Linked DNA regions of Neodiprion lecontei. The protein of the gene in region 2 purifies or fractionates together with the protein of the main gene of each other region. This does not show direct contact. Links are inferred from orthologs where the notes say so. Each region holds a gene or a part of one and is shown on either strand. Other genes may lie near its edges.

What was found.
Region 1: the proteins of trithorax group protein osa (region 2) and brahma-associated protein of 60 kDa purify together in Drosophila melanogaster (affinity purification with mass spectrometry; 3 studies listed by BioGRID, with this or other methods). This does not show direct contact. The link is inferred for Neodiprion lecontei from reciprocal best matches to the Drosophila melanogaster genes osa and Bap60.

Annotation. Positions count from the first base shown.
Region 1 is NC_060261.1:37,097,451-37,104,578, reverse strand, and holds brahma-associated protein of 60 kDa, read right to left. Parts: upstream 5,255-7,128; 5' UTR 5,233-5,254; intron 5,194-5,232; exon of another isoform or gene 5,172-5,193; intron 5,097-5,171; exon of another isoform or gene 4,863-5,096; intron 4,328-4,862; 5' UTR 4,312-4,327; coding exon 4,189-4,311; intron 3,936-4,188; coding exon 3,760-3,935; intron 3,536-3,759; coding exon 3,503-3,535; intron 3,392-3,502; coding exon 3,046-3,391; intron 2,976-3,045; coding exon 2,778-2,975; intron 2,140-2,777; coding exon 1,881-2,139; intron 1,682-1,880; coding exon 1,275-1,681; 3' UTR 516-1,274; downstream 1-515. UniProt on the Drosophila melanogaster protein: Involved in the recruitment and site-specific anchoring of the Brahma complex at specific promoter sites.
Region 2 is NC_060263.1:27,304,053-27,309,222, reverse strand, and holds the start of trithorax group protein osa, read left to right. Parts: upstream 1-1,960; 5' UTR 1,961-2,089; coding exon 2,090-2,851; intron 2,852-4,287; coding exon 4,288-4,410; intron 4,411-5,170. Other genes in the region: NF-kappa-B-repressing factor, read right to left, coding at 1-106, 357-532. UniProt on the Drosophila melanogaster protein: Trithorax group (trxG) protein required for embryonic segmentation, development of the notum and wing margin, and photoreceptor differentiation. Required for the activation of genes such as Antp, Ubx and Eve.

The DNA.
Region 1 (7,128 bases), on a different chromosome or scaffold from region 2:
CACAAATACCTAATTTTGAGAAACGTATAGTCTATAGGAAGAAAATCCGAATTTGGAGCAGATTCTGGAATATCACACACTGTATGAAGGAATGCACACAAGATCTCCTAAAAGCACTTTGAGCGACAAAGGATTTGTCATCCTCACTTTACTGTGTATAGAGAATACCTTGAAACAGGCCTTCCAAGCTACAACAGGTCCTTCCATGCATCATGATAACCGCTGTAAATTGACCCCTGTGTGAGTGTGATTGGTCCACTTTGAGACATCCTTTCCGTACGAAAAAATTTCGTGGAAATCTGTAGATTATTCTGATACTCTACATTAAACCTGTAAAACTATTTACTATACAAATATGACAAATAATTAATGTTTGAAACACCAAACAGAATTCGCTCGCTTTATTACAACTTTTTCATCCAATAATTACAGAGTACTACGAACTTCAGCAGCATCAGATATAAGAACTAAAAAATGAGTTCATGTTGTCAAGAGGACGATATCAAACACAAAAATTTATCGGCTGTATCTCAATATTATTTATTTGCTATAATGTGTATAATCATGACTTATTTTTTGTATACCCGGTGAAAGAGTCACATACTTTACTTCAATTAATATTGTGAATGTACCACAAAGGTATGGGTTTCAATAATGTGACTGTATTGATGATGAATCTAGTGACATTGAATGCACGGAGGCAAATTGAAATTAGCAAAAATATTAAATGTTATAAATACTGTTAAATGTTCACGATACATTTCTGAAAGATTATTAAATATGATTAAAAAGTTGCATCAGCAGACCTCGTTGACGTATTTCTTAATTTGAATAGCATCAATAATCAGAAATTTGTGGTAATACGCAGTATAATCCACAGTTAAAAGTTCGACTTTATCTATGGTATGGTTTTTATTACATTTATAAAGTGTAATACAATTTTTATATAATCGTATTACTGCTTTTTACCTTCCTGACTTGTACTTGAGGCAATAGTCATATTCACCTGACGTAGTATAATAAATTGGTAATGCCGTGCCAATAAAAGTTATATTTGGGTAATTTTGGCTATAATTCATTCGATTTGAATTTAATTGTTATAATCATGTAAAAAAATTCACAGAACTCTTTTAATCATTTGGATCGTTCGCCTTAATTATGCATGAGCACATAAAAAATTATCATATTAAACCGTGTCCTTCAGGAAAGTGTACTGGTTGGCAATTGCATGCCTAACTGACGATACCGTTGGCAATTATGGGATAGTTTGAGGTTTATGAATTGCGAATTCCAAGAGCTTGTTCTAACTCTGCACGCTTTTGTTGAACTTTAGTGTAAAAGTATCGACATACTGCTTCTTGGGCCCAAGGCTGATAGTAGAAATCAGCTCTACGCTCTTCCTCGGGGTTGCCAACAACATCTGTCATTGTCTTCAAGTCTCTAGTCTGTGATATAATCCACTTGTTGATAAACTGCTGAGGGTCCTTTGCGAAGCTCAAAAAGAACTCACGATTTGTTTTCAACTGGTTTATAGTTTCCACTGTCTCGTGAATTTTATTATCAAGGCTTTGAATTTCTTGCTGACTTGCAGTCGACAACAAGAAATTGTTCATCTGGGTCTTGAGCGTATCATCTACTTCAACGTCGATATCATAACACGCGGTTTGCTTTGTCTCTGTACCTAAATGAAAATGTTTTAATGGCAATGGAGCAAGAATTAGTATTATACCTGGATTCATATTCTTCAAATCGAGGAACAACCACATTTGAAATCAATTGAAAAGTTTGACAGATTAAAAGCTGATGTACTCCATACAACAATTTTGTCAATCAAACTGTATTCATTTACGAAGATGCTCAATGATTATTATTGTACGTACCTTCTACACTAATGACATGATTAATAACAATTGGATCTGGCGGATGAAGTAATGGGTTCAAGCGTTGAGGTATTTCAGCAAATTTCATTCTAGGACAAGCAAATATTTGCTCCAGATATTTGTCGCAGTTTATAAATTCACGTTCATGTCCGTCTTGAAGTTTGTGTGTTTTTATATACTGCCAGAGAGCGGAGATGATGACTGGTCGAGTTTGTGTATGAACACCAAGTAGGCGAGCTAAGCGAGGGTCGAGCTTGAACTGCAAAATTGGCAATAAGTCAATTGAACCCCTGCATGCAACAAGAACTTGACTCGAGTTAAGTTTTGGACAATGAAATATGAATAAAGTATTTGTTAACTGATGTACAGGTGTTTTAATAAAAAAAATCAATCGTTTTTTGTTTTGACGAAATTGTCCTAACCTTTGATATCACTACACACCCATAAGATCATAATTTTCAATATTTCATTGTCCAAATCTTAACTCGAGTTAAGTTGCTGTTGCACGTAGGGTCTCAATTATTACACATAATTAGATGTTTACATACATAGGGTGACGACAACTTTGCTCGACTAAAATTCCCTGACCTTTTTTCATGAAGCTCAGGTAATGTTGGGTGGTTTTTATGACTAAAAGCTATGTACACGCGCGTGTGTATGTGTGTGTGTAAAAACTGCACAGTAACATTTCCAAAAGCGAGCTTAACTTAATTTACCAAGCCTAGTTGAAGTTTGAAAACAATTTATCAAAAAAGTACAGTTTCTTTCCTGTAGACCATCATAATTCCCTGACTTTTCCCGATAGACGGAACTCCCCGACTATTTCTGGTTTTCTCGGATTACTCGGTCAGTCGCCACCTTGATACAATTTGAATATGTTTTAATGATAAAATGTACCTGCAGTGGTTGATAATCAAGCAGCAACAAAATTGTACATCTAACATTCTTATCACCAGGTCTTTTAACTTGAAAACCATCAGTCTCTTGAGTTGTCAGCGTACGATGCCATTCAACCAGATGATTATCTGGCCCATACAAGTCTTTGTCTAGCTCTATTACCAAGCTTTTAAAGAAGGATGAAAATTTTCTCTTGACCTATGAAACAACCCAAAACATGTATGCCGCTTTTCCCAGTATAATACGAAAATGTTGGGCTCATTGATACCTTGTTGGGGTCATTTTTTGTATCATCGAGAAGTCTTCCTTCTACCCGAAGTTCCCACGAAGCAACAGAACCTTCTTCTCCTTCGCCAGCTTCTTTAGCTGGGTAGAAAGTATTAGATATAAAGATTCTCAACTTTCGTTTTTGTTTCATAGGACGTTTCAGGGCTTCTTGGATGTCCAAACGTTTGCGCATAATGGTAGCATCAAGTTTACGCTCAAAAGCAAGCAAATCCATGTACGCCTGTGACTCTGGTACAAGATCGCGTACTTTCTGAGGTAGAATTTTGTCTGCCAGTTTCTTCTTCTTCTTCGATGTGGAATGTGAGAAATCACTGTTCCAAAAATACCTAGTGAGTTTGCGTGAAAAATCATAGCTCAAAAATCAAAATTAATTTTGAAAAGATTTTTGTAAAAATTAGTTATGACGATGGCTGCATCGCCTGGTAAAAACTTTGTACCTTAGTTTGAGCTCTAATCCAGAACAGTGAGGGCTTGTACCATGAAAAACGTACAAAAAAACACAGTAACGAAAAAGACTTAGCAAAGAATTTCAGTACCATAAGCATCATATAACTTTATAAATTGACAAATTGAACATTCACTTGCTTTATAATGTTACAAGCATACAAAGAAATGTTGTAAATTACATGGTATGTTCAAAAAATGAGCAATAATAATCATTACATCTAAGATTATAGAAATAAAATGGACTCACGGTTTTTGCTGAGATATTGGTATCCGTTGCTCAGTAGATCTTTTGCTTCCTGGAGGTGTGGGCATAGGTCCTTGGCGCATATTAGTGTATGGCTGGTTTGGCCTCATCATTCCTCCAGGTCCTGGGCCTCCACTGCCCATTTGTGGAGGTGGGGTAAAACCTGACCTTTGCTGCATCTGCGTAAAGAGACATTCACCCAAAGAACAGTAGACAATTTGGATACAAAGGAGTTTTTTCAAATTTAAAAATGTTACAAATAGAGAAAACCTCAGCCGTCATATTCTAATAATAATTGCCACGAAAAATCATTTTTTTTTTCAATTAAAGTATTGGATCATAATAACTCGAGTGAATTTAAAGTTGCTCGCTGTAGTTTGAGAAAGAGAGAGAGACTTAGTAGTTAGTAAATAATAAAGAATCAAAATTAACCTTGCCTACCGGGAAGTTGGGGCCAGAATATTGTCTCAGATTTGGTGGTACGGAAGGAGGAGGGTATCGCTGTGATGGTGGGCCATTATTTCCTGTATTTGGCACAGGAAAACGCTGTGCCATTTTGAAAGCGAGCTATCTGAATATGAGTAAAATCAAAATTAAGTTCAATAGTATAGAATTACCCTAAATACACGTCATACAGTTAAATACTAGACGTTGCGCTTGAAAAAAGCCTGTACATTAAGAGAAACAAGGAAATCTAATCGAGTGATGGATGATAATTAAAAAAACCTTTACACAAGATATTCTCTTTCATTTAAATGCATAACTCTTGAAAACTGAGTGATGATTGGCAGAAGCCACGAGATGCTATTTTTCACCAAGCCTGCTCGGGCTGCGCTGAGTAAGAGCACAAATGACGCGATAAGTTTTCAATACCAATATGATGTAGTAAATTTAAGCACAGTTTAATTACAGAACACAGGTTGGATATTTATGATGGAAGACCTAAGTGGGGGGTGAGATAATTAACTCAAAATATTCCACGTGAAATTTTAAAATAATTGAGTTAATAAAGAGCAAGAATATCTGATTTGGGATGTTTTCAGTTGACACTGGAAAGCCGTAGGAGAAAAAAAGATATCTCAGTATTTTCAATAGTTATTAGTTACATTAGACGGTATTTTTTCACTGGATAACATAGCAGTAGTTAGAGTATATTGAAAACCGATAAAAATCTACGTGAAAATCAAAATAGGCAGAAAATAACCTTCACTTCTCAACTTGAGACGCACTAGCAGGAAATAAATTGGGGGGACTTTGTTTGCGGTACAAATGTTCAAACTGCGAAAACCAGAGTGCGCTTTGATTCGTCACTAGACAGTAGACTTTCCCATTTTTAGAATAGTCTTGGAATCAAGAGAATCGAGAGATGCGTGTTCGCGTTTCTCGTGCCCACGGCGTCGCTAACTGAAGACTACCTTTTATGAAAGGGGATGGGACTGTTATCTTCCGTGTTGACCGTGTTGACTAAAGACTTACAGCATTGACGTAGCATTGACATGGCATTGACTTAGGCCCGATCTCTCCCACGTTAATCGAAGTTTAAACTAAGTTCAGCCTATCCCCAACTATATACAAAAAAATGAACGCTGTTTAAACTGTTTCGAAGGAAACGGGCGTTGTGGGATTGCGTATGCCACCCGCCGATAAAGAAGCTTTCAGATCGCTAAGATGGCTCCTCACCCACTTACCTTTTGAATACTAATAACGAAAATTTAATGTGACAACATTTGAAAACTTGCTTAACACTGTCATCACACATCTGAAAATAGACAAATTATAATCTGCGAAAATAACAGACTACAATAATCTGAAATAATTGAAGTTTATACGACTTTTTTGAAGTTTTCATAGTCTCCCATTTTTTTTTTGTATTGTATTTCCGAAGTCGGAAATATTGATTGAAAATGTCTTAGATGGGGGTCTAATTTATTAAATTTGTACGTTTGGCAAATAAGTGTATCAGCTAATCTAAAAATTTGTAAAACTACAACGAAATGGAAACAAATTTTTGGAATAGTGTATGAATTATGTGTTCCACACAATCGCAAGCAGTAGAGCATTCGGTGCTTTTTTTAATGCGGTATGTTCAGCAGACCTATTACATGGTGAACAATAATACGTAATTTTTTGAATAATTTTTTCATACGTCACACGATTAATTGTTTTTATTAAGTACATTATTGTCGTGCAGACGTCGATTGTTGATCGTTTCTTAATTCATATTGTTCGTTGAATTTTTATTATAGATGAAATGGATTGCTTTGCATTGTTTATAATCGTCGATATGTGTTTAATATCGCCGCGACGAGCGAAGATTGTTCGTTGATTGTACTTAAAAAGTCTAGATTTTCATTCGTTGCTTTATAAACTCACGTATAAGGTTCTGATATGAATTTTCACATGAATTCTACATGAGAATTGTCAATAGAGCGTGAGATGCATTCGTCAAAGTGGCAAATATAACGGTTAATTAGAGTTACGTACGAAATTCAACTTCAATATATTTGCAGAGTGTTTTATTTTCAATAACTCGTTTATTGGTTAAGTCATACTTTTGTATCAAGCAGGCGATAGGGAGTCGCGACCGCTTAGGCAATGCAATGGGCAGAGCCCTGTATGTTTTTACCACGTTTTTACTAAGTCACGGGACCGTGGTTAAACCTGAACTGGTTTTACTACCTTTGATCCTCCGTAGATTTATCCAGTTTACATGACTGTGGACAAAACGGACCCTACTGGGAATACACTGTCTACCATGTTCAAGTTGGTATTCGAACAATCTTTGTGTCAACATGTCAGGGAACATCACCTTACTTCGTGTCGGTAAGTTTTCGAGAATATCGATCATATTCACGTTGCAAAGTGTGTTGTCATCTAGCTGGACTGTATTGAACAGCTGACTGTCGGCTTTGAGACAAGATCGCAGTCGCGCGCCGAAGCGTTGATACGTTTGTCGAAAGATGCGATATCATGTTTAATACTTCGGCTGATTCATTAATTCGGAAAAGAATTAAAGCGCACGGATGTTCGGAAAAATTAAGTCGTGCCTTCTCGGGCTCTTCACGACTCGTGACATGTGTATAATACTGACTGCAGGTTCATTCGTGGGCTTACTATTAGTGTCTGTAACATTTATTCGTGAAACATAAACACGGCGGTAAGCTGAGTTGACCGTGGGTTGAGTCATGTAAATACGAATCTTCTACATCACTTCAAAGGTATTCCGTAATCAATAAAGTTTTACCGCTCAGTAATTGGTCATAATTTAGCTATTGAAGCAATAATATAAACTTCAACTTGACGTTCGTAAATCTGGCAACGTCGCAGCATGCGTCGGTAAACAGTAGATATCATCTGTAAATATGACGGACG
Region 2 (5,170 bases):
TGCCTTAACAAAGGTTCGTTGCAATTTACTTTTTTGCTTCTCCCGATAATCTGCAGCTATTTCTTGAGATAATTCGGCTACAAGCTGCATTGTTTCTTCGGGATAGCTAAAATCATGAAATCCTGAATTTAGAACAGGAATATACAACAGCTGTCAATATTATTTAAAAAATGGTAGCTACATGTAATTGGCTGTTACTGATCAAATAATCAATTTTGAGGAATATAACGAAAACATTTAACTTTCAATGTGTGTAAACAAAAAACAGGCATGCCGATGATTAAAATATGAAAAACATGAGATCTTACTAATTACTATATTAATTTAGAAAGTTTTCTTTGTGTTCGCAGACGTACCGACACCCTAAGAATTCTATGTTTGTGAAAACCTGCGCCAGACATACAAGCTCATCCTCAGGAAAACTATCTTTGTGGGCAAGAAGGAAGCGGCGCCTCAATTCCCAGTGCTCGTCACACTCATGCTCCATTTTGTATTGTTCTACATCCCATTCCTTTTCTGATTCCATTTTCATTGGCTCTGTAGGAAGAACTTGAGAAGTAAATCTAACCTGAAATGCAGAAGCGTTCGTGTTTGCAATCGGACATTAACTGTAAAATAATTTATACGACGAAAAATAAATGTTGGATGACGCGAGCGAAATAAATTATGACCGGTTTAGAATCGGTATATTCTCGTGTGGTTCGGCCAGTATATTTGTGACCATACCGAAGCTTTGTGAAACGTCAATCGTAAAAGATAACCAAAAAATGCGAGCGTTTCATACTTCAAAAGTTTTCTGTTGAATAATAAATAACGGTAACTGAAAATAAAAAATCAGTACAGATCAATAAAAAATTACTACATGTACAAGTTAAACCCTCTGAAGGGAATAAGTAAGATTACGTATACATACGTATGCTGTATGTATTGTATTTGTGAATAGTGATTTATCGTATGCATTACAAGCTTCGGCCCCGTTTACACCAAGCTTGCACGACTCGCGAATACGTCAAACGCGTATTCATTTCGGGATAGTAATCCTGATTGGTGGTTCCGCCAGCCAGTGATTGTGTGACATGCAGCCGCCACTTTTCGCTACAGCGGCGTTTGCCATCACAATTTGAAGGCATGTAATCATATATCATATCACGGATGCATTACGACAAGTTAAATTCAATATTTTGGCAAAATGGAGTGAAAATTCTTTGTAATCATTCACGATAGGCAACCAAAAGTGAGGAAAATAGTTGGTGAATGGGAATTATAATATATGCAATGATTTCTTCACATACATATACATATATACATATATGATGGTGATATGGTGCGCCGACCAAAATAACCAGTATTGGTGGATCGCAATTAGACTTCGACGATCTCTTAGATCAAAATAAAGACCGAAAGCTCGTTGCACCGAAAGGAGATTTTTACAATTTTCGGTTTTGCGTCAACGCGAGTTTACGACGTATTTGGGCGTCGAGGTGTAGACCAATGACTAGAGCGTTTAACTAGAAAACTTCACCTTCCTGAAAACCTAACGGAGAATCCCATTGGGTGAAACGCGATGCCTGAAGCGGTGTGGATTTTCAACAATATTTATACCAGGCTTCATTTATTTAAAAAAATAAAATCCGCGAAAGGGGGGGTAATGCAATTTACAAGATAAACAAAAATGTATCGGCGTCATTGGGGCGATCGACAGTCGGGCATCGTTGACGATACATAATTGGGTCATCGAGTATGTGGCTGTAAGCTACGTGGTCTTTCCCGTAGGATATATCTCGATCGTATATGTCGGAGAGAACGTTCGGAGGGCAACCGGCAGCCTCGGGCAGATTGTAAAAGCACTCGAAATCTCTACGGTATATAAAAAATCGTAGACCAAGCTAGCCTGGCTGGGGCGACGATAGTGCTCTCTGTAGGCGTCTGGCCATGCGGTTAATGCGTGTGATTTCCAATTTCCGTTATCCTATTTTACCGACCAATGGCGTAGTGAACTTCGACGAATCTACATCCTTTCGAAAAATAGAGGCTTCTGATTGGCTAGCGGATCTATTGCCTCGCAAAATGATAGTGGGGATGTAAGAACATGGCTGCAACGCAAGCCGAAAGCCAACAAAACGATGTGCATAGTGAAGTGAAATGTATTCAAAAACATTCTCAACTTGGGGTAAATAGCAGCGTAAAGGAATTCAATACCAATGATGAAGTATCCTGTAATGCGGTGCTTAAATATGTGAATCGCGGTGGGCCAAATAATCCCAGTTTAGCGGAGATGAGTCAATACCGCGAGGACATTAGTGGACACCCTACTGCTGCTGGTGCCGTGTATAGTAGTGAACAAAATATCGGTGGTAAATCGACGAAAGAGGGATCGCTTGGGGGTGATCACACCTCGAAAGGTGAAACACTTGACACAAGTCATCCGCATGGTTTTGTTGGGAACACCTTGGGCGGTAGTGGGGGAAGGGAGTATAACAGTGATGAGTATTCTAGTAAACAATCTGTCAGTGAAGGGAGCACAGGACATTCAGTGAGTCAATGTGAATCTTCTGATGAACATTACCTGGTCTCTAAAATGGAGTCACCGCGCCTCTCTCACTCTAATCCCCCTGTGTCTGCTGGATTCCCGGGGCAATCCCCAAGATTTTTATCCGGTCAAAGTATATCCCAAGCCACCGGCCCTACGCCTACGCTTAACCAATTGCTTCAAGCATCGAGCCCCGTTCATCGGTTTCACTCCAACTATCCAGGCATGGGGGCAGAGCCGTACCAGCAGCCGTGGCCCATGCAGCGTCCACCTGTCGTACCGCCGGTTTACCCGCAGCCAGGACAACGCCCCCCGCAAACTGTGAGTAGAATGAAACTGCGCGTTTCCCTCCATTCGTCGCTATCATGCAATGAGTATTTTCAGCGCACGAGTTTATAGGGACGACTACACGGGTCTCTGGAATCACTGCTCTGTGGGGTAACGTGAACCGGTGAAATTTCTCCAAATTGTCGTGTCCAAGCTCAAGGGTGTTGAGCTACTAGAAAAACGTGGAGTACCCGAGAAGCTCTGTTGCCTCTTTCACGGGAATACCATATCAAAATTCTGTGACAACGTATCCTGCAATTTGCCATTAAAGTAAAGATTGCGTTTGCCAAAATCTTTCGGACTAATTTCATCTTTTTTATAACCTTGTCTTGGGTCTATGGTCTTACGATTACGGCTGTACAATTCGACATGAATGAAAGCTTTTGCATAAAGAGAAAATATAGCCAAAATGTTTATTTCCCACATTCCATGACTAAAAATACAGGGCTTTCTGTTCGTTAAATGAGAAAATCTTCAGATTATCAGTGATTCCGAGTCACGAATACTGAATCTGAATCAAGGAGTTGCTCGTAACGAATAGCGAGCAAGGATTTTTTCTGATTGCATATTCTGTGATAGTTATATAACTAATTTTTTTAAGCATAGCTATCTAAACATGTTAGACAGCAACTTAGGTTAAGGTTTCAGGACTTTGGGTATGCGACTGTTCGTGCTTTCCGATAGCGGGATATTAGACCCGTTGCTTTGAAACTGTGGCTACGTGGACTTTGTGGCAAAATTTCGAGTTGTATGAAATAAATTTAGCAAAGAATTTCCTTGTGACATATATCGATAATGTAGCAAGCATTGGTAATATTCTAACTCAGTTTAGAAGTAATGAGGTATCAAATATTATACATTACAGATATGAAATTGTGTAGTATTCACTGAGCTTTGTCATATTACGTGTAAATGAATAATTATACGTACAAAATGGAAATCTATAGCCTTGTCAGGCTATTTTCAGTCAGCTGTCGTTTCAAATTTGGGATACGCAATATTAATTAATATCTATGTGCATAAGGAATAATGTTTCAAGTAAATAGTACGTGTAACACAAGTAGAACAAATTCCCTAAGGTTTCACATTATTGTTAGGTCAACCTGTACGTCAGAGTTCATGAATTTCAAATGCTATAAATCCTTGATGTGAAACTTTTTTTTGTTTGGGAATTGATTATTCGTATATCAAGAAATCAATACCATCAGTAATTCGTAAAATGCACAAAATTAGTCTTTTGTAAACCTCTGCTCAGTAAGATCTAATCTCACATAATTGACCGCAGGTTAAGTTCAATAATTAAACATTCATCGTACCACCCGGACAGATCATATTTCAATTTTTGTTCAATATTCCCAGTGATTGAAAGATTGCACAAAAGCTTGCAGCATATATCTTGGGATAGAAATTAATGTCGACAATCTTTTCAGGGTTCACCAAGGTTACATCCTGGCCCGGGGGGACCAAGGTCCCCAACACCCATGCCATATCCACCCTACACCCAACGCTACTCATCGACATCCCGACCTCATGTACCGTACAGTCACCATCAGGTAAGCAAAAATAATTTACCAAGCTTTATGTACTGCAAGAGTGAACTGCTGTACGATCGTCATGTATTCTTTAAAGAGAAGAATAAAGATCATGCTGAAGTTAATAGCGTTACCATAATGACTTATGCTGAGGAAAAACTGTTATTTTGTGACTTTGGAAATGATTGAAATCAGTAAACCATAATAAATCAAGACATAGGCTTATATTCCGAAATCTTAGTTCCTTCAGCCGTTGTAAAAATAAGAAAATACTAATGTTTTTCCCAATGTTTCGTTGCGATAACGTTACTAACTTCAACCTCGTGCACAATTACATAGCTATGTACAAGTCCTAGAATCTGACTGTTGACTAAACCTATTATTAGTGTGAGTTTTATGGAGTTACATTTATAGTAGCTCTCAACATCTTTTTGAGCACAAATCCCCTGATAAAACCTTAATTGAAACAAAAAATGTCTAGTAGAATAGGAGAAATGCAAAAAAAAAAACTTAGGAGAGAATCAGATAAGATCGTTGAAGTTGTAATCTTAGAATTGACTGTGCATGTTTCTTAAACATGAATATTAACAAAAAAGATTTGTGTACATCTAACATGAAATACTATTACGTTTGTTCATATCCTCACAAGTTAATAGACTCGAAAATTGGAGAAAATTCCTGATCATTTTCTGAGATAATTTATGTATGTAGCAGATCAAATTGAACAATATTTTCATTTTGATATAACAATTCAATACTTGGAAAGTGTATGAACGGGTGA